Lonchura striata: one gene and its partner. The protein of the gene in region 1 binds, or shares a complex with, the protein of each later gene. Links are inferred from orthologs where the notes say so. Each region holds a gene or a part of one and is shown in the gene's direction. Other genes may lie near its edges. The genes, in order: RGMB and GDF5.

Region 1 (16,628 bases):
TTTTTAGCATCAGTCTCATTACATGGTTATAACAATGGGAAGATGCCAGCAGCTCACATCCCAGGCAACAAACCAAGAACTTAATGTTACAACTTACTTTATAAGCCTTTTGACCAATCACACAAAAGTATATTGACAGTAGTTCTATCCAATCACTATTAATACACATACCTTTGCTTAAAACAATGCTTGCTTATTTAGAATACAATACTTGCTTGTAAGCCTCAAGATACAATGCACAGAGCTCCATTATTAAGCTTAGAACTTCCTAATATCTCACCAGATATACTTTTCTGCAATTTAGGGAGTTATTCTACCCAAGCGTTAATACACAGACCATTGTTCTATTGGTCCTTTCTTTCTACTTCTTGTATAATTTTTCTGCTGACAAATCTTATAGCTACTGCTTATCTCTAAATCACCGTCCTGCTGTCTCTGAGGCCTGTCTTTTGCAACGTGCCCAAAACCCTCTGCTTTTAAGGAATCCCACAAGTTCCTTGGTGTGGCAGCTGGAGCAACCACTTTGTCTTGAGGCTTCTTTGGTATCTCTTCTCCCATGAGTTGTGCTTTCTGTGTGCATTTGTTGTTATCATGCTGGCATGGTAGCATGGAGGAAGGTTTTAGAAAGGCCTTGGGAATGGTAAACTGAGGAAAAGGATACATTCATGTATGCCCCATTGTTTTAGAAAGGCCTTGGGAATGGTAAACTGAGGTAAAAGATACATTTATGTATGCTCCACTGTTTCGGGAAAGTCCCGCTTCAGCATTCCTCTGTAGACCCCCTTCTCCCCACCCCTGAGCAGTTCCTATTGGACCTGGCCCCTGGGGTGGTTCTGATGTGCCCAGGCTGGACACTGTCTCTATTGTTTAAGACCTTATCTCTTAATTTTGCTGTATAAAACTGTATCTGGGCAATAGCCCAGGGCCTTTGGTCCCTGCAACGCTTCAGGCAATACAATCTATCTGGACAAGCATACCATTGGTCTCTCTTGGTCTCTTTATGTCGAATCCTAGCGGTGACTGAGGCAACGCCGCAGCTCGGACCATGCTAACCCAGACGCTGCCTGGTAAGCCCAGGGCAGCGGGACCGCGGAAAACCCCGGCCCTGGAGGGGACAGCTAGCCAGAGGGTCCCGGGGGGCCGGAGAGGGATGGGTGACAGCAGCGAGGAACCCCCGAGAGCAAAGTGGCAGTCGAAAGAGAAGCAACATGCATTCTTCCATTATTTGGTCAAGGGTTGGTGGTGATGAGACAGGCAAGGCTTGGATAATTCTTTTGCAAACTTCATTTGCATTCATGGAGGTAATTTCCAGGACGATCTGGTCCTGGAGTTCCAGCCCCTCCACACGCTTCTCCACAGCTTCCCTCACACAGTCCACAAAATCTATAAAAGGCTCAGTAACAAATTGTTTAATTGCTGCATATGATGGCATTGGCTCCTTGGTGGGCATAGCCAGGAACGTGCACTCTGCCGCATCCCTGGTCATGTCCAGCACTGCTCTTGGAATTCCCCTAGCCTGCAGCAGTGCTTCATTCCAGTCTCCCTCACCAATAAGGTGGTTTAAAGTGATTGGTTCCTTGGCAAGGTTGAGGCCATATGGGCCCTCTGCCCATCTCTTCCACTTTCTTTCCCATAATTTTTATTCTGAGAGGCTGAGCAGACAACTAAACATGCGATTAAGGTCTGCAGGGACCAATGTTTTTGATGGAAATATTGCTCATAACATGTTCCTGAAAAAAAGGACTTTTGGGGCCAAAATCTCTTTGAGTCTTGCAGAGCTCTTCTATAGCCTTGTAGGAGAGGGGTTCCCATCTAGGGTTTCCCCCCCACCGGCCTATAACAGACTGGAGCTAAGAATGGCTGATCTACTGCTCAAGCCTGTTCCCTCCCTGTTCCCCCCTCCCTCCCCGGTACCTGAGGGACCGTGGAAACCTGAAGGTGGGGCATGGGAAACAAGAGGAGGGTGGTCCAAACCTGGAGTCTGAGGGGCAGAGTTGACAGACCTCTGTGGACTGAGGGGGTGGGCCAATGGTCGGGCCGTGAGAAACTGAGGAGGACTGGAGGGAACACCCACAGGAGGAGGAGCAGAGGGAGGGGGAGTTACACAATTTCCAGAAAGGGCTGCACATACGTCAGCAGGGAAAGAGGAGGTATTTGAGGCAACAGTGGGAAAAGGCACAAAGGGGTTGGGAGAGGGAGAGACGCCTGCCACCATTTCGCATTGGTAGTGCAGTGGTGCCTCTCCAGGGGGACAAAGGGAAAGATTTAGGGGAGCAGAACTGCATTGGGCTGTGCCGAAACCGGGATGTATAACTGGGAAAGAGGGATCGAGATGAGGGTTAGGGATAAAGTTCCTGGCAGCATGGCCAGTGCCATCAGAGCAAGGGTACTGGGGGGACTTGGGGGAGCTAGGAGCACAGTCCACATTGCAGGAGCTGCCCTGCACCTGCAAGTGGTGGGTTGCCTTTCCCTGTCCACCTGATTTAGGGGAAGATAGGAAGGGAGAGCTAGGTGGGGAAAGGGGTGTAGAAAAAACTGGGGATTTGTCCGCTGGCTGCTCTTCAGCCACCCATCCACCTCTTGCGCACCTTCTTTTTTAACCACTTCCCAAACCAGCACAAACAGCTTCATGAAGCTGTCCTTTATGGAGGGGTCTCCACGTTTGATTCCTTCTGCTAATCTCACACCAACTCCCTTCCAAAAATCCTTTTTTCTAACATTCTCTGCCAAGAATCCGGGAAAAGCAAAGAACAACCATCGGACGAATTTTTTAACCAAATGTTTAGGAATAACATCACCCCCCTCCCTCAACTGATGACCCTCCCTTAGGAATCCCTTAACTTGGATATATAATTTTCTCTGGTGAGTGGACAGCCTAATATCCATGCTGCTCACTCACACAATCTCACGCACTTGCCACAGGAAAGGAACAACTAAACAAAAAATGGCCAAAGAGTCGCCAGTGGTGAGCCACTCACACTGCACGTTGTACCTCCCCTACCCTCAGGAGCATGGCCACCCACATAGTGAGGGAAGTTCCGGCCGGGTCTGTCCCACCCACCGGAAAACTTACCCAACTGACGATCTTCAGAAATCAATCTGTGTCAAGGGTCCTCCTCTCAAAGACAGCTCCCTATAGCAATTGGTGAGGAGTTAAAGCCTCATTCCTTGTGGGCATAAGCAGAACAAAAAATCTGTGTGCTCACTCAAGGGCGTTGGTGCTTTCACTGACTGAGTACACACAGTCCAGCAAGGGGCAGTTCCATGCAGAGGCAGCAGTGTTCGTCGTGGCTGCGTCTATGGCAGTGGCCGGTGCGGGGGCGGCCAGTGTGGTCTGGCAGTGGCGGTGGCTATGCGGTCTGGCAGTGGCGGCGGCTACACGGTCTGGCAGCACCAGTCAGGAGACCAGCATGCTGCTTTGGCGTGGGCAGTGTGGTCCTGGACCGCAGCCACCGTGTGTGGGTGGCGTAGTCCCGGCACGCAGCTCAGCAGCATGGCACAGTGGCCGGCATGGTACAGCGACGCAATGGTGGTGGCATGCTGGTCGTGTGGCCTTAAGCAGCAGCAGTGGCTTCCAACCGTGGCAGCCGGTGGCAGTGGGGTCCAGCAGTGCAGCGTCCAGTGGCGGCATCTGGTGGTGTGACTTCCAACAGTGGAGGCCCACAGTGGTGGCACATGTCCCTCTACGGCTATTTTCCTGCCTGATGGTGGAGCACCACCTGCGGCAGTTACCATCCATGGCCCCAGGTAGGTGGAAGGGTCTGGCTAGTACAACCCATGTGAGGCTGTGTGGCCACCATGTGAGTGGACGAGCAGCTTAAGTAACTCTGCACACTGAGAGGAGATGAAGAGATGAGAGAAGGACACTTGTATACCAGCCCAGAGTCCTTTATTTCCCCAAGTGGGGCAAGAAAGGTGCCCTCTGAATGGGTACAGTGACAAATGCTGAAGAAATCAATGATTACAGAAACTTAAATAGGGGGTGGGCGGACAGAGGTGTAAACCTGTCTTGCCTAATGGGGATAAACCAGAGAGGGATACAACAACCTATGATAATGTAGCAGGGATAGGTACAAGGTCAGGGGACAAATAGAAAAGCTAAACTGGAGTGATTGATACAAAACTTTCTGGAAGAAACTGGGGATAGTTACAGGATTGACAGCCAAAAGGGTATAAACAAACTCGGATTGATGGAACCAAATAACGAGAAAACAGGGAGATATGATTGACATATAACTGGGGAGCCAAGTGGCAGGAACTTTTGGCGTAAACAATTTGTATCAATCCAATTGCAAGGGGACAAATGGGAGAGCATAAGACTAATTAACATTGCTAAAACAAACTGACTAAATCAACCCACAGCGCAACACTGTAAGATTTCAGATTTCAGAATTTTGAATTTAAGGGGCACAAATGCAGTGACTTGGTCACTTTGTGGATATCCATGTGAAGCGATGCTACTGAATCTGTCTGTAGCACAGCAGCAGAGGAAAAGCTTCTCAGTTCACCAGGTGTATTGATCCTCAGTATTATCTTTTTATGAGGGAGAGAAAAACTAGCTTAAAAGTGATGGGAGAGGGAAAGATGTCACTATTGAGTAAGAAAGTGGCACAGACTCCAAGAAGGCTGGTTTGCACAACAGGAGCTTTAATGCCAAAAGTCTCCTCTTTATAGACTGACCTGACACATTCTACCTGATTGGCTAATGAACAAAAACACTTTTATCACAAACAATCCTGGAGAAGAACAGAAAAATAACACCTGCAGGTTGTTTACAATAACAAGCTATCATTGTTTCTCTACAACTTCCTAAAAGTCTCACAAGTCCACAGTGAGAAAACTTCTGTTGTTTTCTCACTCTCTGACCAGGTTGTCACATACACAGAAAGATACCTCTGAACTTTCTTCTTTCCTTCTGTCAACTACAGGTAGATCTCTGCAGCTCACAGATTTGCCCAGGGAAACTACCAGACATTATCACAGAACACAGATATTTATTGAAGATATCATACCACAGCAAAAGCAGGTTTGTTGTTTGGTGTGTGCAGCAGGTTTCTTGCTTGTCTTTTCCCTTTTTTTTTCATGAATCATTAATTTTGGGTGCCTAAAGGTTGAGTGTCCCCATGACAAGTGTAGAGTCTAGGGAGACACTAATCTCATATGTGTTTGCATGACACTTCATCCAAGATGGAAGGACGTTTTCTAGTACCATCTGTGTAGCAGTTGCCCTTTGGCAGTTTTCTTTATCTCCTGTTCATGGGCCCATCAATGTCTTGCCACATGACTCAGAGATAACACTCTCCAGGAGCCAGTTCTGTGATCAAAGACACACCTTGTGACTCAGAATGACATGAGCCCATTGTGAGATGCTCTGTCCAGGGGAGAGGAGCTAAGCATTCCCACCTAGATATAGCCTGAGATTTCTAGACATAGAAACAGCCTTCCCACAGGTTTCCAAGAGGACACATCTGGGGTTTTTCCACTGGACCAACTATACCTCTTCTACAGGATCACTGCACAAAAAGAAACCACATCTGCCACTCCAAGAGGACTGCAGCCACTCTAATTTGGACTGCTACCAACATGCTGGCCAAAGGGGTGTCAGGTTGTATTCTGACTTTGTCAGTGGTCTTTCCATTTGTATCATTGCATGTATTTTTTCTCTTTTCCCTTTTCTCAATAAATTGTATTTCTGACTTGGAGTCTCTCACTAGTTTTGCTTTCAAACCAGAATATACTTAAATAGCTTTTGTCTTGTCAACATCTAAGGGACACATCCTCTAAGCAACCCGTGTCCTGTGCATGGCAGGGGGTGTCATTGAAAGCCATCAGAATGTGGATTCACCCATAGGTGTATCTGCCCATTCTCCCCACTCTGACCACTTTTCTTACAGCCTCACAAGTCAGACCTTCTCAAAAAAAGTTCCCTATCCAGCATTGGACTCCTAGTCTCTTTGCAAAAAGAAGATTCCCTTTGGCTTGTGGGAATCGGCAGCATCAGTTCCCTCAGCAAACATTGCTTTTAAATCTCTGTCCCATCCATGATGGATATATACTGGATGGCAGCACATTTTTAAATATTTGCTGGACTCTAAAATCCAGCCTACAGAAGCTGAGTAAATTTCTGAGCTAACTAACTCTCATCAAGTCACAACTTCTATTTTTACAGTGCACATTTGCAAGGACCAAAAGAGGGAAGCAGTGTTGCTAGAAAGTGCAGTTTTATATAGAATTTTCCTCTGTTATTTAATTCTAGATGTCAAAATAAAGTGCTATGGAAAAGAACAAACTGATGCCAGTGCTGCAGGTGAGAGGAGAAGGCACATGAAGGAGAAGGTCAAGCACATGAGTTCTGACCCTGGATAGAGGCAGTCCTCTTGTGAAGCAGGGGAATTTTCAAGGTAGGTGAATCCTTGAGACAGTATGGGGCTGCCAAACAGCACAACAGATTTGTGTAACACAATACAACTCTGAAAAACTTCTCCTTACTAATTGTATACATAAGATGTACATTTCGGGTTTGGTGATGCCCTCCTTTCTAGGGTGCAACAGAGACTTCTGCAGAGGGCAGCCTCCAACTGATTTATTAAAAAAATATGGATATTTATCTAGTACAAATATCCAACTGTGACGGACAAAATCTCTCTAACAGTATAAAGTTAGAAAGTGTATGTTTATTCAACACCGGGCAGCGTGCGGGATAGCTCCCAAATACACACTGTGGCTTCCAGGTGATTACAGAGTCTTTTTATCCATACAAGTATTGAATATCCAAAATAAAAATACATATTAATAATTTTGGTACATCCCATTCCTCATTTCATATGCTAATCATTTCAAAAGCTATTAAGGATGTGTAGTTTGTTCCTTGAAATCGGTCGGTGGTCCCTTTCATGGGGAGGGGTCCCAAACTGAGGAATTAAATGAAGTCTTCCTCGTTCTGACCTTTCTACCTTTTCAATGCAAATATGACAAATGAACTCTTGGTAGAACTCCCATTCCTTTTCTTCAATTGGTTTCAGAACAGAGGAGGCCCACAATTGTCTTATGTTCCTAAAAGCTATTTCCAGTTTTTATATTCTTCATTATAAACCCAGCTAACTAAACATTGTGCTGACAAGCAATCAATTATTAGTTAACTACTAACTCTTAACTTCATCAAAGCCTACTCATTAATTTTAATTAACTCTAGTAAAGCTTATCTCTAACTAAAATCTTAGCTCCTCTAAAATCTCTAAATTCCTTAAAATTTATGTTTCACAACTAGCAGTGTATTTCCAAAAGCCACAGGGGCAGACATCACATTGTAACATAATTGTGGAAGTGATAGTGATCCTAATAATAATCCTAGGAATAATCATAATTGCTGGAATCCTGGATGCTGAGAATTTTAAACTTTCTGTGCTGAAAGGTACAGACTCACAAGAGAGCACTGCATTTGACTTGAAGTTGTGGAGAAGACTTCCAAAATTGATTAACAGCACTGGGATTCCAGGTGTGTAGTTGGTTAGAAGTGTGTAATATCACAGTGGAAAATTTAGAGCTTGGGGTTTTAGAATATAGAAATAAATATGAAGCAAGACGGGGGTTTTAGCGGGGAGAGGCTCTTCTTCGCCTTCTTCCTTCTTCTTCATGGGTTTGGGTGTTGTTTTGTAATTGGACAGAAAAGTCTGCATTGTGGGCTTTGAGGGATGTTATTGGGTTAAAAGGGAAAATAGTCTAGGTGTCATTTCTTAATTGGATTGTTTAGTTTTAAAAGACTTTGTAACAAGAGATAGTAAACCATTTTATGCTTTGTTAATGAAAGACTGCAGAACTGTGAGGTTGTGCAGGCTGTGAGGTTGTTTCACTGATAAGTAATAATAAACACCTGAGTCCAAACATGAAACACCATCTCAAGTGCCTTCAATCCCAACCTCGACAGAGGTAGAAAAAACAAGCAGAGGACCCACACATAATCCTGATGGTAGATTATAACTGTGACCTCACATCCATTGCTCTGTAAAGTCAGGTGCTGTCAGAACCTGGGCCAACCTGTGGGAACAAGTACACATGGCCACAGGGAAGGAGTGGAGCTGCCCCATCTCGGTGTTCTGTAACCCACCCTGTATCTGCGCTGCCATCTGCACTGTCCCACTGGTAACTTCTGCTCTGGGCCACCGATGTCCCGTGCCCTGTTCTCAGCAGTGCCGGTGGGCCACCGGTGTTGCCATTTGCCCTGTCACGCCGCGTCCCTTGTCTGCACCGGAGGTCTTCCATGTCCCATCCCTGAGGTGTCCCTGCCCCCCCGGCCGTGCCCCCTTCTTGCCTGGTGGTAATCCTAACCTATCCCGGTTGAGCCGCCTCTCCTGTCCTAGCGGTGTTCCCCACCCTATTCCGGGGTATTTCCTTTCTTATCACGGCGGTGTTCCCTGCCCTGTTCCGGCAATACCCCTCCCGCCTCACGGGTGCGACTAGTGGTGCGGGCGCTCGGCCGTTAGTGACGCAGCAGCTGCGGCGGCGGGGTCCGCGGCGGGCGGGTCGTTGCCGGCAAGGGGCGTCAGGCGCCTGGGCTAGCCATGACCGACAGCTCAGGTAACCAATAAGAGGCGGCGCAGAAGGAGGGGGCGCGCCGGTCGCAGCGCCGGTGCAGGCGCCGCCGCCGCTGCCCCATCGGGGGTCCGTTCCTTTGTGCGCATCGCGTCCCGCCCCGCTGCCGTGGATGCGGCCGCACCGCTGGAGCAGTAGTAGGCGGATGGGAAAGCACTGTGGAAAACGTCGCCCACTCGCCCGCGCCGCCGCCGCCTCATGCCGTGGTACCGTCCTGCCACCGGCTCGGGAACCTGCATGGCCGGGCATGGGGAGCGCTGTAAACTCGCCCGCCCCCAGGGCTAAGCCGCCGCTCGCCGCTTTGCGGCGGCTGCTCGCCGCACTGGGGCTGCTGCTGCTGGGCGCAGGTACCGGGAGTGTGGGGCTGGGAAGGACGGGTGCGCAGCTGTGTGCGCGCGCAGACGCGGGTCCTTTTCCTTCCCGTAGAGGCTCTCATGAGGCGGGATTCGCGAGCTGGGCCTGTGTAGTCCAGAGGAGAGAAGGCTGAGAGGCAATCTCGTTAATGCTTATAATAGCTCCATCTGAGAGGATGGTGCCAGATTCCTTCATTGGTGCCGAGCGACAGGAAGGAGGCTATAAACTGAAACACAAAAAAAGCTTCACCTCAACATGAGGAAAAACTTCCTTGCATTAAGGGTAGCAGAGCACTACAACGGGCTGCCTGCGAGGTCATGGATTTTCCTTCTCTCGAGGCATTCAAGCCCTACTTGAACACGTGCCTTTGTCACGTGGTCTAAGTGATCCTGCCTTGGCTGAGGGGTTGGACGAGATGATCCCCAGAGGCCCCTTCCAGCGCTAAAAATTCTCTAATTCTGTAATTTATTGAACTGTTTGATGACTGGACAGACTTGCTCAGCTAGCCTGATTTATTTGTGATTAAAATAGTATTACAAATACAACTGAACGGAAACAAAAGTTTTGATGCTTTGAAAGTCTGGCTCTAAATCCAGTATTCCCTCTGTCATTTTGCTTGGTATGGGTCTTTTTTATATATCTGAAAACACAGAAATTGATTGTTGTTGTTTTTGGGTTTTTTTTTCTGTATTCTGCAGAGGTATGTATGGCTTGCACAAAGAAATTTTCAGCTTACCTGCACAAGGCATGGTCATGCTTAGCTGTAGGTGGAGAGTTCCTAATTCTACTTCATGTTGTCATGGGATTTTGACAGATTTGTGTTAGCTACGCATCACTGGCAAAACATATTACCCTTGTAAATTCATAGTTTGGATATTCGGAGTAAGTCATGTGAATACTGACTCAGGAAGGTGAGCTAAGGGGCAGGCAAAGAAATTGCTGATATCCTCCCATCACTGGGTGCATTGAAGAAAGCAGCTATTTAGAAATGAATTATTCATTTGTTATTCAACCTATTTTCCACTTCTGACAGCTCAGAAGTTTCTCATATATTTCGTTTTCCCTTTTTTTTTTTTAACTCTTCCATGGGTCTTTGTGGCGTTCAAAACCTGCTTTATGACAGTGAGAAATTTCAGACAAATGTTCCTACAGATGAATTTTAGTAGATAGTTTTGCAGGCTTGGACAGCTATTGTATGAAGTTGTGCACCAGTTCTTTATGAAAGTCCATTTTCTCTTTGGATGGCAGGAAATGTGAGCTCTCCTAGACTGGGATCCCCCTGCTTTTAACCTGTGGGAAAAGTGTAGGTCTGTTGTCCTTAGTATGTTTTTTTCATTTAATTTTTGCTCTTGGTAAGTTCTTTGGTAAAAGTTACCTTTAGAAAGCTGATGTTAACTGCCATGAGAGTCTGGAATGATTTCAGATCATACCTGTGAGAGCTGTGGAGGAGACTGTAGAACTTTGGTTTGCTTGCAAGGATTTAACTGGTTTTTTTTTAATGGAAATCAGGTTATCAGATAAAATGTGACTGGTGTGCTCATGTAAGTTCAACTGTGTAGCAGTTGTATACATCTGATAATCACTTCAGACTTTTGTGGAGAGAGGGTTTTACTCCCCCCATCTTATGAATTTTGCTCTTTGAGGTACAGTTACTGCAATGTACAGGTGCGTTAGCTGAAAACTTGCACTTCAGAAAACTGTTTTTTTTCATGCTTTAGTTTCAAAAAAATAAGCAGTGAAGCTCTAGCTATGGCATTGCCAGGGAAATAAAGCAAACTGCTTGTTCGCTTATCTGCTCATTCTCCCCCACTCTTGTTTCTAGAAGAGAACTTGGCTTCTGCTTTATTCAGTCTAGTTTTTGTCAAAACATTTTTAGACTTATGTCTAACATCTAAACAATGTCTAAATAACATTACTTTGTTGTCTTTACCACATTCTTCTGAGGGGCAGAATTCTATATAAAAAGCACTTAAAAACTAAATGGAGGCTTCCTTATTGACTAAGTTATTAATTTAAAAACAGAATACCATGACCTTGGTATCTAGAAAGAAATGTGTGGCTTGTACTTGACAGGACCTAGTGCTCTTAATTTTCATCTAGACAATATGAAGTAATGGATTAAGACATCATGAGTCTCATCAGCCTCTGAGATATTCTCCATTGCTTTTATCTTTCAACCTCTTCTTTTTTAAAATGTAATGTTTCCCTAATGAGTGAACACTTTTAAGTTTCTTTCAAGTTGTTTTCTTATGGTTCTTGTGGGAGTGGAAAGGGGTATTGCCACTTAAGAGGTTTGCTTTATGTCTTTCTGCTGTCTGTTTCGTGCTTAGGTGACTGTGAGCTGCACACATCTTGTGGAATCCAGAAGTGCACCACTGATTTTGTATCCTTTACTACACATCTAAACTCAGCTCTTGAGGACTTTGATTTGGAGTTCTGCAAGGCCCTGCGAGCATACTCTGTGTGTACCTATCGCAATTCCAAAGTATGCCGTGGAAACCTAGTCTACCATTCTGCAGTGCTTGGGATCGGTGATCTCATGACCCAGAGAAACTGTACCAAAAATGGACCCACATCCTCCACCAACTCTGAAATAACCCATGATCCCTGCAATTACAGTGGCCACACAGAAGTGAGAGACCATCAAGGGGGAGAGAAGACATCTCCTCCTACTTACCTGTTTTGTGGCTTGTTTGGGGATCCTCATCTGAGGACTTTTAAGGATCACTTCCAGACATGCAAAGTGGAAGGTGCTTGGCCCCTTATAGACAATAAATACTTATCAGTACAAGTGACCAATGTGCCTGTGGTCCCAGGATCCAGCGCTACTGCTACAAACAAGGTAGAGATTATTTTTGTGTACTGTGCATGCATGAAGAAGTGAAAGGCAAACAGTTAAGTAAGTCATTTAGCCCTTAACAATGAAAAAGTGTATTAGCTTGAGAATCTTCTGTGCAGTAGTATAAAAAAATAAAACTCTTAGCATCTTTGTTAATGAGCATCAAACAAAACAGGTTATTTTCTTCCCTCTTCTCTTGTTTAAGAAAACCTGTGCGTATCAACACACAAGCCTGTAATGATACTGATGTAACACTTTAAAACAGTTATTGATTATTGTACATCTGTGACTGCCTCTGTACTAATTAGAAATTTGAAAAATCATACAATGCTTTGGGTTGGAAAAGAATTTAAAGATGTAAAGAATGTATGTTTAATGAATGAAGTTTAATTTTCTAAACTTCACAGCTATAACAGTAGGAAACAAATAATACTGAGAGTGGCACAAAAAACTGGTTACCAAAACACTGATGATTCAGAGCCAAAACAAGAGGGCAAACTGCAGAGAACTGAGAGAAGGTAGCAAGCTGAATGCTTGTGACAAGGACTTTAGTACCTGAGCTGTACTAAACAAACAGTGGCCTTAAAATTATGCCACGGATATTAAACCCTTGTTGAGACAGGGGAGACTTAAGATTGCAATCCTCTCAGATATTTTGAGGAGTCTAGAGTAGGAATACATCCACTAGTATTTAATAACTGATGCCATTTCTTTAACTTAAGAAAAGTCTGTGTCTCTTCCTGCTGGATGCAGGTAGCAAGTGAGTCCATCAATTACTGGATTTGAAGCTGATATTGTCACATATCTCTTTTGGAGTGAAAGGGCTTTTTTAAAAATAGTGTTAGTGTAGCTCTTGGATTGTCAAGCTACATCAGGCTGTATGTACACAGCTTCAAGACATTTACTAAGCAGTCACAAGTTTTTTTGTTACAAGGCAATATATAACTTTCAAAACCAACAGACAGTTGCCACAGGATTTATTTTACTTTTCTAACCTATCACCTTTACTTACTTCTACTGCACTGTGGCTATTTTTATCCAATGGGCTTCTAACTCACAGACATACATATGCATCTGTTATAACTCTGAACTCTTAGCTGATTCCATACAACTACACCCCTACATTATAAACACTTGAGCAGCTTACCAGTATAGTTTCTCATTTACTTAAGGCATATTCTCACCTACAACTATAGAAATAAAAATTTATAATTTTTCTGCTTAGTATCTGTGTTTTGTATTTTTACATGAATCTAAGCTTTTTCTAAGGCTGTAGATCAAACCCTTCTGTGTCTGATTCCCACAAGAAGATAAGTACAAGAACTCAACAGTTGAAAGTGTTGCTTTTGTTTAAGGCACACAAGCCTTAAACTTTCTACAAATACATTAGGGCCTTCTCTAGAAATGGTAGTTTTACAGCTCAGTAACATCATCTTTGAAAGGTTTTATATGTGCAGTGGAATTTAAGAAAGCTTTGTGGTCAGTGTACTCATCAGTACTGGCATCAGTAGGAGTGGGAGGATGAAGTTCAAAATTAAATGTGTAAATTTCTTTGGTTTAGTAATCTTACTATAGCTGATTTGTTTATTGTATCCTTAGATAAGCCTCTGGAAACCTTTATTTTTGTGTTTCAGCAAGCCTCACTGCAGAAGAGCTCTGTACCCAAAGAACAAGGCTGATACACTGATAATTTCAAAGATCTTTCTTTATGTGAAGATTTTGGCATTCGGATTTTTCCATCCTAACTTTAGAAAGGGCAGCTAATCACTAGTCTGTAAACAGTACTGCATAAGCAGCTGTGTGAAGGTGTTCTTGGGACCCAGAGTGTGAAAAGTACCATAGGTACATAAACATTTGTTAGAAATAACCATTTTCACTTTTTAATGCTCTCTGATACCTTGAGAATTTAAAGAGAGAAAGCTCTACAATGACATTTTGCTTCATCTCCATTTGCAGTAGGTTCTGAAGTATCTGTCAGTACCAGGGCATGATACTGAGATAGGAGTGTATGATAAGACAAAGCCCATGCAGCACTCTGGTTTTACTGATCTGGCCTATGGTTTAGGTGGATGTTGCCCAACAGACAACAGAATATTCAAAATCAGTGTATTGAGCTGCAGTGTTTAAATACAAGTATGTCCTTGGAAAATCTTAATGTCTCTGTTGATTCTCTCTTTAAAGTGTCCTTGCAACATACATGGAGGCCTTTATTCATCTAATAAAGCTCTCTAAAATCTAATTTCAGCTTTCTACATGTCTACAGCATCCATTGTTATTGTTAATCTTAAATTAGTGTGAAGGCTTCTTGTTCTTTCTCTGTGTTCTGAAATTGTGTGCATTTCATTCTAGTAAATGAGGGAGTTCTGGAGAGAGCAATTTGGTAGCTGCTTCCTGATCAATTTTGCCAGGTGTCTTGCTTAAATATTTTATGAAGCAGGTAGTTCAGTGTCTCATTAAAACAATGAGACTTCTTTTTGGCTCCAGTCTTGTTCAAGTGCTAAGGAAACTTAGAGTTTTACTTCTGTAGGTGTGTAAATTATTCTTCACAGAACAATGCAAGTGTGCTCAAGAAAATAGCAATGCCTCTTTGTCTGAGCAGGCTGAGATAGAAGTCTGTTTCATTCAAACTGTGTTACACAAAATAAAAGGCTTTTTACTGTATTATGGCCTGGATTATATGCAGAAATACTAATCATTTGAGAGACCTCGAATTTCTGTTCTGTAGGTTGCTGAGTGTACTTTACTAAGAGCAAAACTGTGAGGTCATCTTTACAGCAAAAGAGGCACTTGTGTGTTTTGTGGATTTTGGGCATAAGCATTCCTGCTCAGCTGTCATTCACAGACATCACTTTACTAAATTACTTGACTAAGATGGTCTTAAGGTATATAGCTGATACATCTCATGCTGTATAACTGGTTAATGCAAGGAAAAAACATTGGAAAAATCCCATCAGCACTAGTGAGAACATATGAAGTCAAAATAGTAAGTAGTGTCTGTGTTGTGAGACAAACACTGACAAAACATCCACCACCTGGGATGAGCCAATTACTGAAAATTAATGTAATATTTTTTAAGATATGTGTGTGTACTCCAAAGAAGAAATTGTTGCAATGGGAGGAGAGAGGTGGGAAGACTTGTGTCTTATAAAAATTGTATAGAGAGGTGAGACTAATGAGGCCAGAGGTTTTATTAAAATTGTTTGTAAATGGTTATTGATCTAATCTCTTGCTCTTACTTGAAAGGAGAGAAGCAGAAATAAAAGTTGTGCAGAAGTGTGTTGGTCTTACTTTAAATGAGAGAGGCAGAAATAAAAGTTATGCAGAAGTCCATTGGTTAACTGAAACTAAAATGTGAGGTTGCTGTGGAACAGATTTTAAGTTTAACCTTAGTTTAAAAATCCCTTCTGATATGTTTTGAAGTTTTTGAGTGAGTCTCATAGCAGAATTCCTAAATTGTAGACTGTAACTAATTTGATTAATCAGTTAATGATGAAAATAATTATTAAAATATTTATTCTTGGTGCAAAATGTCTTTTACCTTTTCAGTAAGTTATTCCCTTCTAGTCATTCTTTCTCTACAGGAAGTAGCACATCTGTTTGTAATACTTAGATGTGATTTCTCATTCTAATTTTTGCTTTAGGAAAGCTGCTAGACACTCCACATTTCATCTGCCATATAGCTTAGTTATTCCCTTCAAGTAAGACTTGAGGAGGACCTCAAGGATACTTAAGGAGGACCTGCTTTTTCTTCTGTTGTGACCTACTCCAATAAGTAGAAAGGATTAAAAGGCTAGTTCTTATCTTTAAAAAAATAATTAATTGCCTTATGCTAATGATTTTGATGTTGAAAGTCACTCACTCTTCAGAGGCACATCTTTGGGTATCTTTCAGTTCTGCATTTTCTCTGTAGCACAGTGGATTCAAAGTGTCAAATCTCCCAATTCCTAGGATTAATGTATCCAGGATCTCTAAGCTGTTATTTGACTAGTTGTTCTTCTTGGTTCTGATTATACCTTTCCCTGATTTTGCATGGTCCCATTCTGGTTTTGCCATAGTTGCCAGCATTGTGGGAATTACTTGGTCCTTACACTTCTCCGCCATTGCAGGAGGCATTCCAAAGCGTTAAGAAACTGTGAGGCAGGAGGTAGTTTTTATGCTTAATTAAATATAAAGTGTTTTCCTTTTCTGACCTCAAGGCTGTTGCTACATGCTAATAGTCTTGCTTCCAGACCAAAAAAAAAAAAAAAAACAAATTTAACATTTGCCATGTGATAAAAGGCTGCTTTAAGCATGTGTACAGGCTGTTTTCCTTAGGCATGAGTTACAGACAACTGTCAGGTTTTAAGGTAGTGGGCAGTTCCAGACATATCAGGTACAAAATGGAAAAGGAATTGAGACAATGATTTCTTTCCACTAACTTTACTTATCTTTTTTCCCTCCCCCACAGGTAACTATTATCTTCAAATCATACCAAGACTGCACAGATCAGAAAGTATATCAAGCAATGACTGATGACTTGCCTGCAGCTTTTGTTGATGGTACAACAAGTGGAGGAGATGAGCACACCAGGAACTTGCACATTGTGGAGAAAGTTGGTGGCAAATATATTGAGATGCATGCAAGGTACATTGGGACCACAGTGTATATCCGCCAGCTTGGGCACTACCTGACCCTGGCCATTCGCATGCCGCAGGAGCTCGTGATGGCCTATGAGGAAAGCCAGGATCTACAGCTCTGTGTGAACGGCTGCCCTTCCAGCGAACGTATTGATCAGAGTGACCACTTGCCATTGCCTGTGATAGGAAAGCTTCTTTCTTGGGGTGCTGTGTCTCATGCCCGCTCAGGG
Region 2 (15,556 bases), on another chromosome or scaffold:
TTCTCCTTCTCCTCGTTCTGCTTCTGAGACTGTACAAGCAAGGCTGAGAGCTCCATCACCCTGAGAAGAGAAGGTCTACATGCCATTCCAAAAGCTTTGCACACCAGCACCTGTTAAAGAGCCAAGCACCTCCCCAAAGCATAGCATAGCAAAGTTCAACCCAGGAAACACAGCAAAGGCAGCATTCATCTCTACAGGTTAATAGGCTTGATGATGCAAAATGGCACTTCTTGGCCCAAAGGCCTCTGCACCCAGTCTTGCAAGGAATTGTCAGCACAGAGGTGCTGCAGTGCTTATGGTGGCCCTGGGCAAATTCCTCCCAACTCCTTCAGCACAGCCCTGAGAAGTAAAAGGGCGGTACAAGAAACACAACTTTCTTTATGCTGAATTCAGTTTTTCACCAAGAATCAGTTAACAGCAAAAGCATTCTCAGGGGCTATCTCTTTTTCAGTCTTGTCTTACTTGGAAGAATTCCTGTCAGGCAGATACTTTTTTCCATCCTTTCCGTTGAAGGCAAGAGTTTGACTGGAGACAGCTAAATGTGAGCACAGCCCATCTGTAAACCCAAGAAGCTGCCACAAAAGATAATGCTGGAAATAGCAAAGTTAAAACACCTTTACCTGTCCTGAAGCTCTTTCTTCTCCATGTCACACCTGACTGGAAAGGCTATCACTTCCTGCTCTGCCTGATCCTTCAGGAGAGGTTTACCCAGAGGTATGGACTCCCTGAGCTGCACACAGGAGTTCAGGCGAGAGCAGTTCACAAGAATAGATCCAGAAAGCCTCATTTGTTCTGCCTTCAGCTCTGACAAGTCTCTGAAGAGGAACCAAGAAAGAGCCAATCTTCACTCCACTATCTTTATCAGCTGATTCACTTCTGAAGCATGCAATCATGCATCAGGAAGAGCTGGCAGGCAAGGTGACAATTTTGTTGGGAACAAGTCATTCATCTGACACTTGGGGACCAGGACACATCTTGACAGCTGAAAAATGATTTTACCGGGTAGCCAAGTGTGGGGTCTGTTTTCTTCTCAGATATAAGAAGTAAGATATGGCACAGGCCAGAAGGCCTCAAGCACCTCTAATTAACTCTTATTAACATACTGTAATTATCATTAATAGAAATTGGGAATTTTACCAACATCCCCAGCTTTTATACACTCTGCTCTTGAGTGCTCTGTGATCCCCACTTGGACTGCTAAGAAGCTCAAGACTATACCTATATAATGAAACATTTTAGAAAAGTGGTGTAAGAATCAGCCTGAAATGCTGTAACATAAAAGCACAAACAACACAAGAACTAAATAGCAGGTCAGGCAGACTCTACACAATAGGGAAGACTTATAATCAAATAAGACAAATGGCTTACAGTAACCCAGAGTTTGAAAGTGCATGTTGACACCAGAAAGTACTATTACAGCTACACTATTTTTCTTGCGAGAAAAAAAAACTCAGAGAGCCCAAGAATAAGAAACAATCATAAAAAGAGGTATCAAACTAAGCAACATAAATTGGATGAATGCAGTAACAGGGCAGAGAAGCTATTCTTTCTCTCAGCAATGCTGGAAAAGGAGTAAGTAGATATAAACTGACCAGAATAAATGAAAAGGGAAAAAATATGCATTAATCATCTTTCTCTTAGAAGCAGTGGGAAAAGAAACCTGGTAAGATTTTTTAAAGGCAGGTTTTTATAATTTCATAAAAGGGACCACTCTATATGCTGCATGTACTGCTTCAATGAGTCTCTTACCAGGTGTCCATGCATTTCTGTGCCTGTGTTCACAGGCCCACACGTCACCACAGTCATCACCTGCTCAGAGACTCTGCTGTCCTCATGGCCCAAGCCCTTCAGCTTTATCTGAAGATCAGCAGCCAACAACTCTTCTAAGTTCAGCCCAAAGCCATGCTGAATGGCTTTGTTTCTGACTACCAAAGGAGAAATCCTATCTCTGCTGTAACTAACACAACATTGAGGTTCAAAAAGCAGGACTGAAAAGCAAGCAAGCCACACTTTTGCTGCAGGAGATCTCGCCTGAACTTCCACTCACCGGTCTGTGGCAGTCTTCATTTCCAGGAAATGGCGGCGGAAGGTCACCACCTGCCGCCACAGGCTGAGCAGACGGTTATGTTCCCCTCTGAAGTAGTTGTCATAAAGCTAAACATGCAAAGACAAAAAGAAATGCCAATTCAGCCCTTACTGTCACTGTAACCTCTCTCAGACAGGAGAGAGTAAATCACCATCACCAGGGGTCCTTTAATAACTACTGTACCAGGGGCATCAAGGACTGAAGAGGCACCACAGAGGCCCACAGAAGGGAACCACCTGCCCAGAAGAGAACACCCTCACTTCTGTAGGAGTGGGTAGCAGCAAGCAAGCTGATCATGATTCATCACCACAAAGCCCCAGCAGAGGAACACCAACACAAGCTCCTTCAAGCCCAGTGCCAGGTTGGCTTACAACAGGCAGACAGTACAAGAGGTCTATCTTGTTCCTGTGTCAGCCTCTTTGAATCTGAAGACACACGGAACTCTCTGGTCTCAATTGCTCAAAACAAGGATTAAGGAACTATTAAAGAAACAAGTGTTCCTGTGACCGCCCAACAGTGCCCAGGTCTATCTTCTCGACCAAGCAGTGCAGTCACAGAAGGTGGGCATCTGCTCCCAGCACCCTCTGCTGACACTCCTCCCTCCCACACCCCTGTCCAGCACCAGTACATCCTCAGCAGAGCCAAAGCCTCCACACAGCAAGTTTTCCATGCCAGGAACAAAATGCATTCCCATTCCCCTCTGGCACTCCTGTAGCCCAATCTCACCTCACGTTCACTGCGCCATTCACTCTCCTTCACCTCCAGCTCTTCCCGGGCCCTCATCCAATCCACTGTCAGTTTTCCAACATCTTCTTTGAGGGCAGAATTAACCTCACTGGCTTTATCAAGGTGCTCCCGCAGGAGAGTGTTTACTTCTGCCAGATTCTCACACCTAGAAAAAAGAGAGAAACAGGAGGTTGCTGAACAACAGCTCTCCAGCATCCCTGTGTTTTTCCAGCTCCCTTAACACTGACTGTTGCCTGAGAGGCAGTACAAGCACTTTACAGGGTTAACTAAGATCTCTCTGTGCTGAAAACCTCATCTAACTAAAGCTTTGAGCCCTCAATTTCCATCCATGATTTTGGCTTCCCCTTCAACCCTGACAATGCCCACATGTAACAATTTGCCCCCTCTTCATGCTGATGGTCACTGGATGTATCACTTTTCTATAGCACTGTCCACAGTTGTTCACCTACTAGAACCAGAGAATAATTTCAGCTGGAAAAGGACCTTTCACTCAGAAAGGACCTTTCACTTCCCCACTCAAAGCAGAGCCATTAAGCACACAGCACTGTTACTGCACCACAGAAAACAGATTGTGGACCTTTCTCCTGCACCTTGCCCAACCGCTTCCCTTGGGGAGACCGGGTAACACCAACAGATTTTCCCTCACTTCCATGAGCATCCAGGATACCAAATATGAAGAAATGCTTATTTCTTGTACCTTTGCTGCTCCTCTTCCACCTGAAGCAGTGCTTTCTCCAGGCTGTGGTCTGCTGTGGCTTCCCACCTGCCTGGAAGGGATCCCTTTAAGAAGAAAGGAAATGTTTTGTCAAATGATAGTGTGTGCTTCACCACTGTCAGCATCCACCACTTTCCCATTCATTTGTTGGGTATCTCAGGAGCTCATGGCTTCTTCCAGGTGTAACAGTGTTGTGACTACAGGGAGGAAGGGAAGGGTATTAGTGTGAGCAACTCTCCTCACTCTCCCACTGCTATGTGTCCTCACTTCATGACTTCAAGTGCTGATTTGGACTTGAAGCCTGGGAATGCTCTCCTATTCTTCCACCCTGTGGCTTCCAGATCTATTTTAGCTATGAAGCAGAAAGAAATGCATAGAGCCAGTTCTGTATGTTAACCACCAGCCTTCCTGACTTCCAAAATGGTGTTTTAACTGGTTCTTTCTCCAGGACAGCTATATCATGTAACATGCAGCACAGTCCTCTCCCGAGACCCAGGACAAATGTAACTCCAATGAAGCACTCTTTCACAAAATTAAAATCCTCAACTGGGTTTTCTGGACTGTCATTTCTGGGACTACTGACTGCTCTAAGAATGGCAACTGGACAAAACACTGATGGGAAAACTCACAGTGTTTCTCTAAACCCTCAGACAGTAAAAACCTGCTTTCTTGTAATTGGATTGTGGAGCGTTTTTATTGGTCTGCATTTGGGAACTTTATATACACCCTTTTTAGTTAACAACCTGCAGCACACTCACCCCTCCAGCTTTCACTTGCTGCTCCAACTCTCGACACCAGGTCTGGTACTGCAGTACCTAAATGGATACAGAGATTACAGATGAGAGAAGCAGCTTGTAATAGACTCTGCTCACCTCACGTTAACTTTTCTCTGACTCTGTCGAGCCCAAGCACAGTGATTCTGATACACTCAGCAAGAAGTCACTGCAATATCGGGAAGCGTCACTTTAATATGACAGAGATTGGGGCAGGGTTTCTTTCACCGTAGCACTGTCTGCTCACCTGAGACAGCGGCAGCAAGCAGAACGATGGGACAGGTGCGGGCAGCTCTCTACCTGACCTACGGCCCCCACGTACCCCGAGCCAAGTGTTCAAGGGGGCTGTTCAAGGGGGTCCTTGAAGCGAACAAAACGAGTTTTCAAACTTGCTCTGCAAACAAACCGGCCCGACTCCTGCCCGGGACAAACCCCGCTAACAGGGCCGAGCAGCAGCGAAGCTGCAGGCACCGAGATCGAGATCGGGAGGGGCTCGGCAGCGAGACCGCGGCGGGACGGGCGCTCCCGGGGCCGCCCCGAGCCCCGAGCCCCGAGCCCCGAGCCCGCGCTCGGCACCGCCCGCCCGGGAGGCCCCGCGGGCTCCCGCCGAGTGCCCCCGGGCAGCGCGGGCGGCCCTGCACCGCCTCCCCGCCGCCGGGCACCGCCCGCTCCTCACCTCGTTCTGCAGCTGCCGCACCAGCCCCGCCTGGCGCTGCTGCGCCTCCTCCGCGCTCCGCAGCCGCCGCCGCAGCGCGCCCGGGCCGAGCTCCCCGCCGCCGGCGCTGCCCGCCATGGCCGGCCCGGCCCCAGCGTCCCGCCCCGCCGGCCGCCCGCCGGAGCGCAGGCTCCGTGAGGGCGGGGCGGTGCTGCCGCCCTGGGGGCTCCGCTCTGCCGCCGCGGGGAATGTAATCAGGAAAAACAGTGATCGTGCACCCTCCGCAATGTCATCGGGAATTGTCCTGAGACTTGGTTAAGCCCATTGCTAAAAATATGTTTCATTTTGTATTTGGCTGCTGAATAACGCTGGCTTGTTTTCACTCCCTGTTGTTTCCTGTGACAGCGAATGCTTCAGCGCTGACATTCTGGGTTTTTTTAAAGAGGTGGAATAAATGAATTGCCATCAAAATTTTCTTTGTCAGCAAAGTAGTTTGGGATCTCAGGATCTCTCTCTCAAATCTTGAATCATATAAATATGCTTCTATTACAAAGATGAACAATACCTATCAAAGGCAACTCAGGGAAATTAACATTGTATACCAAATGGAGGGACTCTGTTACTGAATAGGCTTGAAGAAACTTGAAACAAACCCTGAATTTCTCTAAATGATAACAGGCAGAGATACCAAAAATTAGGGGGAAAAAATTCCCCCTTAATTCAGAGTTGGGGAAATTAGGTACATCTGTAGGAATCAAAAAACAAAAATAACACTCCCACTCAGGATATTTCATGTTTCTATGATTCTGTGCTTTGTAATTCACTACTGCTTGCAGATGTAGCCAAGTTTCTTGATTACCAATGACACAATTATTTCTTTGGACTTGCAATTTTTTATTTAACATCACAACATGTTAGCACAGTGTTTTAAATTTTGCTACCTTCACGTGGAAGTGGAAACATCATTACATTTGTTTTGCCCTGGCCCAAGACCAGCAAGTTTTAATTATTGCATCTGTAGGTTTTGTGTCATTCTTTCCTTTTGAAAAGCACAGCGCTGTTAATTTCCTTCATAAATTGTAAGTTCACACTTCTAGAAAACAGTTGCCCAAGAGCTATGGTGCAAAGGTCTAAATCCTCACAGAAACAGAATGATAATTAGATTCAATCAGCAAAACAACATGACAGCAAATAGCTTAATATATGGCACTAGCTCAGTTTTTTAAGTCCTTTCTGGAAATTAGTCCACCTGGGAAAGGACAGTGAATTTCCTGATAGATCACTATAAAAACTTCCATGTGCAGCTTCAACTGCAAGTAAGCGGCACAGAGCAAATTGTAACTCTTGGCATCACATATCCAATGAAGCTGCTCATCTGCAGGGATTGACAGTGTTTTCAACACTATGAAATCTTCCTCTGGCTCCCCAGAGTCATCCCTTCCTCTAGACTATGCAGGACATCCTACATCAGAAGGGCTGAGATTGTCTGAGAAAGCATCACAGCTCATGTAGGCATAATCTCAGGATATGGAGAGCAGGAGGCAAGGCACTTCCAGGGAGCAGGGACACGGGTGGCCCTCCCTTTTCAAATCCATACTCACACCGTGCGAGGGAGGAGCTGCTGTCACAGAACAGCTCAGAAGGACAGGTGGGCTACATGAACGCGGCCACTTGAGGTTGCACAGAAATTTGGCTGTGATGAGCAGTGAGAGGCTTGGAACACCACTTCCACTGTGTCCAGAGCCTCACCAGCAGGAGGGTTTCTAGCTACATATTGAACATATCAGTGGAGTTTGAGTTTATCCAGCTGGAATGACTCCACTTTGGTGTAGGGTTCATAGGAACTCCCCTGTCTGTGGGTCTTGTTCAGGGTCAGCATTCCATTCTGGGGTCTGTGGGGCTCAGTGCACTCTACAGCATCTGTGCTCCCATGGTTCCAAGCACTGAGATTGTGGTTGCTTCAAAACAGCCTCTTTTAAAGAGAGAGATTAATTTGCACTTGCTTTTTACTTTCTTTTCCTTTGCTTGCTTGTTTTACTTGCTTTTCCTTTTTCTTTCTGTCTAGCTCTGTCCAGCCCACTAAGATTTTTTAATCTCAGGCATGTAAATATTCTTTGAACATATCAATGATCATGTTTTAATTTGATTTACTAAGACAATGCCCATGTAATCACATTGTCCAACCTCCTGCTCTTTCACCTCCCATCTCTTAAATCTGTTTGCAAATCACAGCCAAGTTTGATAGAGCAAACAAACTTTTAAATATATTAAATTCTTACAAACATTGTGAAAACTGGAAGCTGGATAGATTAAAAGTGGAAATTCAACATTTAGCTTCTTTTGTGGCTTACTGGCAAGCTGATCAATGCCCCCATGGTGCAGAACCAGACACAGCACATCACCCAGCAGAAAGGTGGGCAATATGGGAAGGATAAAGTGATGGCATGGCTGGGAGGGCCATGGGATGGTGTGGAATGACTGCTGGGGAATGGTTTCATTAGAGGTAACTCCCAGGAGAAGCTGCTTTATTTTGTAGGGAAATATCAAAAGCAAACTGACATCAGAGGAAGGGCTATTAGATCAAAATCAGGAAAATCATGATTTGAATCTACCTTATTTGTGACATCTGTAAAATCACTGAACTCTTCTATCCTTCAGTTCCTCCATCAAAATAAGTGAAGCATTCAGAGCTTCTTATGTCATGCAGGTTGTTATTTATGAAAGCAGTTCAGTGTTTCTGATACTGGTCAGGGTGGGTGGGGAATGCTACAGCACACACAGGACAAGCCAAAAGGTGGTGTACCTTTTTCATTTCATCTTAACTCAAAGAAAAGCAATTGCAGAAGGACTGGGTGTAGCATCAATGCAAGATGAGAGATGAGTCCCAGTAATCCCTACTGAGTCCAGCGCCTTCTTTCCCGAAGGCTGATCTAGAACAATAGCTCGTTTTTTGCAGGTTATGAAAGACAGATTTGGCTGAAATGTGCAGGACAGCCTTGACATGAGGAGTGCTGGTTTTGACCTGCATCCTTCTTGGGGCCCCAGGGTCAGCAGCTCTTGGACATTTTGAATCTAAAATTCAAAGGCTGGTGTTCAGCAGTCTCGGGAGGAAGGACAGGGTTCGGCCTGCCTCCAGCTCCCGAGTGGCTCTGGAGAAGAAGGAGGAGGAGGAGGAGGAGGAGGAGGAGGAGGATGGCTGCCTGCAGGGTGCACTGCTGCCTCGCTGCACCGCGCCCGCCCCGCGGGGCATCCCCTCCAGCAGGAGCTGCTTCTCCAGCTGGGCTGACACGGGTTTTTTTAAGCACAGCAATAAATAAGCCAAAATACACTGACTGTGGGCACGGCCCTGTTGAGTTTGTGTAAAATTAAATGTTACCCTCGTTAAGCGCCTGCGTTCCAGCGCAGCCCTTCAGTCACAAGGGGACGGAGTGAAGCCACTGTTACAAGCTCTCTGGAAAAAAGGCTACATGAATTATTTCTAAATTAGTTTATGTATGTGTCCAGTGGACTGTGTGACAGGTCTCAGTTGTTGATCTTGCAGTTTGTCCTGTCTAAACGTGAAGTTCATCGAGGGCTAAGGCAGAGGTCATACTGCCACTTGAAAAGGCATCCTCTGGAGTTTTGAGCCTGTGGAGCTGTTTCACATGAGGCAGAGTATGACTCATGCTAATGAAAAGGGTAAAGAAGATTTTTTTTAAGAAATATATCGCAGTAAAATTAGTTTAGACAGCATGACATCAGAGAGTAATTAAATAGGTTTGTTGGAATTCCGTTTCCAATTCCAGAGTTCAGGTTTGTAAAAGATTTCTGAGCACCTGCAGATCTCTGTGTGTGAAATATTTTCACTGGAAAGGATTCAAAACTCAAAACTTTAAAAAAACCTTTTAACACAGAGGCAGCATTACGCCATTCTTCCTTCTTGGAAAAAAAAAAAAAAAACCTTGGATTTAAACAAGACTCCTTCAAGTTTTCAGTCAGTTTTACAGAAGAAAACGAGGTGGTAAACTTTCTCTTTTCAAGAACAAGTTCTTTATAGCTGCTAACTGAAGTCAGGGGAGATCGTATCTGAGTACATGAGCATTTCCACTATGGGACTGGATACAAGTATTGAACAACGATATTTGAAATGTTTTAATCTCAAACAAAAACCATTTTTGCTAACTTTGGTTTTTAATTTCTTTCATGTTTTCTTCTGCCAAACTGGAGGAACCTTTTCTGATTTTTTCTTTAGTGGCATTCAGAGGAAGACCAGAGGATGAAAATCCTGCATTTTCTCACTTTACTGCTTTGGCATTTGACTTGGCTGTCTCTGGATCTAGTTCCTGGAGTGCTGAGTAATTCTGAAGCAGGCCAGGGTAATCCAGGATCTAAATTAGGTTTTTTGAAAGCAGAAGGAAAGGAGAGGAATCCCTCCGCACGAGCAGGTACATTGAGGACTTCAAGCCATGGATACAGTGCTGGGACCTCAAAGGCCAGGACTAAAAGCAGTGCTGCTCAGGCTGGAGCTCTGCTGGCCAAGAATGATGACTCAAAGAAGGTTCCCTCAAGAACAGCAGCTGCAGAGGGCAAGGTAGGACATCTCCCCAGCAGACCTTCTGGAGTAAGGACAGTGACTCCAAAGGTTCAAAATCTTAGCAGCAAGGTGGCTTTGAAAAAAACTGGCACAAGCAGTACTGACACTGATTCTTTCAAAACCAAAAAGACTAAAGAGCCTGTAACCCAGAGGGAAGCTAAGGAAACTTTCCGACATCCCCCAATAACGCCACATGAATACATGCTCTCTTTGTACAGGACTCTCTCAGATGCAGAAAGAAAGGGTGTTAATGGAAGTGTAAAACTGGAGGCTGGACTTGCCAATACAATAACCAGCTTTATAGACAAAGGACAAGGTAAGAAAGAAGCTTGTGTGTGAGTGAGTGTGGACAGAGAGAGATGTCTGAGTGTGCTTATAAATGTAGAAAGTATTGGAAAATAATCATATTTCAGTAAAGTCAAATAGCTCTTTTTAATGTAAATGAAATCACACAACTTTGCTGCAGATTTTGTCCTCCTGCATTATCTTGGAAAACTCATTTACAGGCAGAACTAGATGGTTGTGTGGAAGCCAAAGAAAACATTTGGGAAATATTTTAGATGCATATTGTTGAAAATCAATCAGTCTTTGCATGCTTAGGTGTTTAAAAACCTTTCACATTTTTGCCTTATTTTCTTTCTAGCTGTCTGGAAACTAGCTCATGGAAACAGCTAATGTTAGATTGTAGTGTGCCTAAAAACATATAATATGCTAAGAACAGAGCTATTCTTTGAAAAAAACCCACAAGTTTCAGTATGAAAGGGCCAGTCTGGTTTGTTCAAGGTAGAATTGTGAGGAACTACACTGCACTATCCTGTGGGGTGAGAGTATCTTTAGTAGCTTAAAACTTTCAGGTAGCACCAAGGAGCCCACAGCTCAGCACAGGCTACCAAGGGTAATAACACCCAGAACTTGCAGCTCAACATTCCTGTTCCAAACACTTCCAGAAATTTGGGCTAGTGTCTGCTTTCATAGGAGAAATAACCAGCCTCCCAATGAATGATGTTCACCTCAGCACCCTTCTTTGGGAGCCCCATCTTTCTTCCAGTGACATTTGTAAGAGTTTTGTCATGTTCTCAAGGAAGCAACACAGCTGGTGAAGGAATTGTGATGAAAGACTCGCCAGGACTGGATTTGTTAGCCATCTCTTCATTAATAGCTTGGCTGCTGGGAAGGGGGGATGCGCTGCTCACAGGTGCTGCCTTCAGGTTCCCAGCTTGCCACTGGAAGCCACTGTTAATGTCACATCACTGGAATGAATATGGTTCAGCCATATTCTTCACCACCTGAAGCAAGTGATTGTAAAGTCAGGATGAAGGGAGGATTTTTTTCTGCCCAGTTTGAAAAATTTTAAATCATGTGGGATTTAGTTCATGAGGCAATTATCCTTATGTCTAGCAGTTCCTGGGGATACTGGTTTTAAAGGACTAATTCACTATTGCATCATCTAAGGGTAAATTTACTCATGTTTGGAGCCAGCATAAGGCCTGGCCACCACTAAAGCTCTCTTTCTGTAATTTAAGTAGGTTATAAGTGGTAAATAGATCCTGTGAATGCTCAGTCCTGAAAAAGTATTAATTTTCAACTGGCTAATAACAACTTTGAAGGTAGAAAATGCCCACTGGTGAAAGAAATGGGATTTCTACAAGGCAGACTTGGAAACTCATTTCTCTGGTGAGTCCCTGATTTCTTCTGAGTCCCTGCATGGGGCTGATCCCTTAGACAAAAATTGCTCTTTCTGTTCAGTGGGTAAACTTTGAGGCTTATGAGCAAATTTGAGGAAAGCCATTAAGAACTGAATAAGTAATATTGGTCTGTGTTTGATGTACATTTAAAAATCTGTGTGCTTTTTTCAGATGAGCGAGCACCAACTATAAGAAAACAAAAATATATTTTTGACATCAGTGCATTAGAAAAAGATGGATTGCTGGGAGCAGAGCTTCGAATACTGAGAAAAAAACCTTCTGATACATGGAAGTCTCATTCTTCTGGGAAAACTTCCCAAGTAAAATTATTTAGTTGCTCTACAAACAGACAAGCCTCAACACTCTTGGACTCTCGGACTGTCAGCATCACCGATACACCCAAGTGGGAAGTGTTTGACATCTGGAAACTTTTCAGAAACTTTAAAAACTTGGTTAACTTGTGTTTTGAACTGGAAACTTTTGACAGGGGGAGAGCTGTTGATCTCAGGAGTGTGGGATTTAATAGAACAGGAAGACAGGTCAATGAAAAGGCTCTGTTCTTGGTGTTTGGGAGGACGAAAAAAAGAGACTTATTCTTCAATGAAATCAAAGCTAGGTCTGGCCAAGATGACAAAACTGTTTATGAGTACTTATTCAACCAGAGGCGGAAGAGAAGAGCTCCTCTAGCAACACGGCAAGGGAAGAGGCCCACCAAGAACCTGAAGGCGAGGTGTAGCAGAAAAGCCCTCCACGTGAATTTTAAGGATATGGGCTGGGATGACTGGATAATAGCCCCTCTGGAGTATGAGGCGTATCACTGCGAAGGGCTCTGTGAATTCCCCCTCCGATCCCACCTGGAGCCCACCAACCACGCAGTTATCCAGACATTAATGAACTCCATGGACCCTGAGTCCACCCCCCCGACTTGCTGTGTCCCAACCCGGCTGAGCCCCATCAGCATCCTTTTCATTGACTCTGCAAACAACGTGGTCTACAAGCAGTACGAGGACATGGTGGTGGAGTCCTGTGGCTGTAGGTAGCAGAACAGTTGCTTATGTGAATATGTTATGAAAGGCAATTTGACACATTGGACATAACTTCTCCTCAAACAAGGTTAACTAGGTTTCTTACCCCTAGGGTAAGTATGTTTACAAGGATGTAGCAATAAATCCAGTGTTTTTGTGTCTCTCCATGGACATCTTTCAGTAGCATTTGGATGCTGTCACTCAGCTGGATTTAAGGCCTTGTGCTGCTGGCAACACAGGACTGACTCTATGTGAAGTCCATGACAGAGAAGATGATTCCTGTACACCTTGAGATCTCCTGCTTTTAGCTGCAAGGTAGTGGATAGAGATGAGATCAGTGAGCTGTGGATATGAACTGTTTGTTCCTTGAACATTGTTCTGGAGAATGAATTTCTATCTGATTCCTATGTCCTTTGTCCATTCATAAATGTGAGAAAAGAATCCCAATGTTGAGAAGAATTGTGTTCTGATGTACCCCCATCTTGGTGTAAATATGTACTGTAATATGATTTCCTTCTGATTAGCTCTTGAAACTATGCATATATAAAAAGGGGTCATTAAACATAATATGTTGGTTTAGTTTTAAGTTTTACATAAAGATAGGTGATGCAGGAGGTATTTGCTTCCATGTATGTTTTCCTCCAAGCTACACATCTTTCTTAAGTATCCACCTTTCCATTATTATGTAGCAAAATATATTATTCTGTATAAGGTCCAAGTTGTTCTCAAGTGCTCATAGTAAAAGCATTCAATTATGGAATAAGATGTAATAAATTATTGACACAGTGCTGCATTGTGCCTAGCTGTCCAACTCTGCATAATTATAATGCAATTAAGAAATTGTTTTATGTTTTTGTACAATAAATATGTGAAAGGGACTTTTCCATGGAGCAGAATACCATGGATATGCACAACATGTCTGTGTATTTTGCTGCCACAGAGAAAAACCGTAGAAACATTGAAAAAAAGATCTGAAAGGAAGACCTGGTTTGATCTGGTGGGGAATGACACTATGAATTGATGTATTTGGAGCAAAAATGAGTTATGCAGAGGGTTGCAAAGAGCTTTGGTATACTTTTATTCCAACCTCTAAGGGCTGTGTGCTTGTATATCCCTGTTATCTATTACAGACATGAGTTATAAATGGGATTGTCCCTCTATGTTTCCACCCACAAAGGTAGATACCAAATGTTCAACTACAGATGGATCAGAAAGGTCCTATGAACCATCAGAAATTACTGAAGGATTTAATCAGTAATACAAAATATAAATGCTAAGGTTTGATATTACTTAGACCATTAAGTCATAGAATTTCCTGGGTCTGCACAGCATCACTGGTGTGGGTAGAGGCAGAGAGCTGAGTACAGTCTCCAAGGTCCTTCTGCTCAGTACCCCAGTCTAGACATCCTCAAACTCATGCCAGCAGCAAACCATCCTAAATTCCTGGTCAATGGTCATAAACAGTGACATAAATTTCTGCCCTTCCTCCTGCACTCTCTGGGCAGCTCAGCCTTTAACCAGCTTAATGTATCTGGATAAGCAGACTTGCTGCCAGACACCTGGGGAAGCCCTGTGCAGGGGACCTGCCCTGTGCCCTCACCTGCAGCTCAGGGATGCAGAACAGCCCTGCAGGGAGATTTGGTCTGTGGAATTTGCTCAGTGGTCATTCCTGCCAGCAAAGACTGACGCTGCCTGGCTTGGAGGGGCTGACACTGCCTGGTTTTCCTGCCTGCAGGGACTGCCCACCTGCTGCAAACCCGGGGACCAGAAAGCTGCCCCTGCCCGGACGGTGAATGCCCAGCATGCAGGGCAGCAGGCACGTAGAATGAGGGTGTCTTATGGGCCTTTTTGGTGTGTCAGGGCTGCCCACAGGGATTCCCCATCTCCCTTTTGGACTCTCAGTGTCCCTTCCCAGGTCCTGCTCTTCCTCATCCTCATGGAGCCTTAGGCCAGGCGCAGCAGTTACTGACCCCCAGCACTAACTGCTTATCACCAGCCAGTCTTTCAAACCGACAACTCTAAGCTTTTCAAAACCTGATTTATATACTGCTGATTTTTACCGTTGCTGCAGTAGGAGGGAAAACATTCCCCTGCCAAGTCCAAAGCCAGGAGGGCAGCTCAGGCTTTTTTCCCCCCCCACTATCTGTTCAAGCAGTTCTTTTCCTCCTCCTGTCTGTTCTCAGGTGTGTTTGCAGCTTCCTCTAGCACTGGCTTCAGCTATCTCCTGGAGAAGTTTGCTAGATGACCATGACAAAGGATGGTCTCCTTTCTTACTCTGGGAATGCTGTTTGCACATTCCCAAGGAAATCTCTGCTCTGACATGTGCTCTGACATCTGTGCCATACCAGTTACTAAACACACAGGCACATTCCTCAATGGCTAAAGGTGATCAGTTTAAAATAGCAAATACTGCCTATTTAAATACACTTGAAACAAATCTAAGATAAGACAAGTTAACTCCTGGGATTAGGACTGCCTGCACAGGGTAGTTTGCTTCAGTAGCACCTAGATTCATCAAGCGCTGTAACAACCGTGGTGGACGGGAGCACTGGTGTTACACATGAGGCATGATAGCTTGGAAATAGGGGGAGGAACATTCCTGTTTGGTTCACACTGCAGAGCTGGTGACCAGCCTGAGAGTCCTGGTGAGGCTGGTCACGATAGCAATTTTCAAAAACCTAATACGTGTAAACCTCTCTGAGGTTCTTTCTTGCTGTTCTTGTATGAGTTTTTCAGTGCAGGAATAAAGTAAGATAAAGACTCAGGTAAATGGTATTTAAATTGAGCATGTATCGGTATCTAAATGGAAAAATATGCCAAGGTTTTGCAATTATCCCAAAGCAAACAGTATGATCTGAGGAAAAATTAAAAGAAATACTGTCAAACTAAAGTCTTAAAAAACACCCTTTGATAATCATTCAAAAGCCTACATTCTGCTTGGTGGGGGTTATACCTAGAAAGGAAAATAAAAAACCAAACCACCAGTAGGTCTGTAATATCAGTTTAAACAAATTTGAAACAACAGAGAGTAAAATGCTGGAATTGTAATGGATTATTACTGCTTCAAAAACAGCTTTGGCCAAAACAGAAGCAGTTTAAGCCCAAGTGTCAGGGTTAGGAGGTAAAATGACATTCAGTTTGTTTGGGTGGTCTCTCAAATGTGGTGACATCCAGAAGGAACAGAACTGGCTCCACTCAAGTTTGGTTCAGCTCTAAAATGAAGAGTTTATAATAGTGGGCATAGGAATAAGGTAGTTTTTTTTCACCTTTAGGTCAAAATTGGAGCATTCTTGGTTT

Evidence for each region.
Region 2: the proteins of RGMB (region 1) and GDF5 are in contact, whole or in part, in a crystal structure (PDB 6Z3J), measured with the Homo sapiens proteins. The link is inferred for Lonchura striata from reciprocal best matches to the Homo sapiens genes RGMB and GDF5. Residues at the interface, in NP_001353437.1 of Homo sapiens: Gln57, Thr60, Phe63, Val64, Thr67, Ser68, Leu70, Asn71, Tyr88, Leu103, Val104, Ser107, Ala108, Leu110, Gly111, Ile112, Asp114, Leu115, Gln118; in NP_000548.2 of Homo sapiens: Leu396, Arg399, Phe435, Pro436, Leu437, Arg438, Ser439, Asn445, Val448, Ile449, Leu452, Ser455, Met456.

Annotation. Positions count from the first base shown.
Region 1 is NC_134642.1:53,094,849-53,111,476, reverse strand, and holds the start of RGMB (repulsive guidance molecule B), read left to right. Parts: upstream 1-8,598; 5' UTR 8,599-8,701; coding exon 8,702-8,936; intron 8,937-11,273; coding exon 11,274-11,785; intron 11,786-16,229; coding exon 16,230-16,628. UniProt on the Homo sapiens protein: Member of the repulsive guidance molecule (RGM) family that contributes to the patterning of the developing nervous system. Acts as a bone morphogenetic protein (BMP) coreceptor that potentiates BMP signaling. Promotes neuronal adhesion.
Region 2 is NC_134619.1:13,419,086-13,434,641, reverse strand, and holds GDF5 (growth/differentiation factor 5), read left to right. Parts: upstream 1-9,210; 5' UTR 9,211-9,231; coding exon 9,232-9,865; intron 9,866-11,405; coding exon 11,406-12,274; downstream 12,275-15,556. Other genes in the region: centrosome-associated protein CEP250, read right to left, coding at 1-60, 621-815, 2,048-2,154, 2,813-2,869. UniProt on the Homo sapiens protein: Growth factor involved in bone and cartilage formation. During cartilage development regulates differentiation of chondrogenic tissue through two pathways.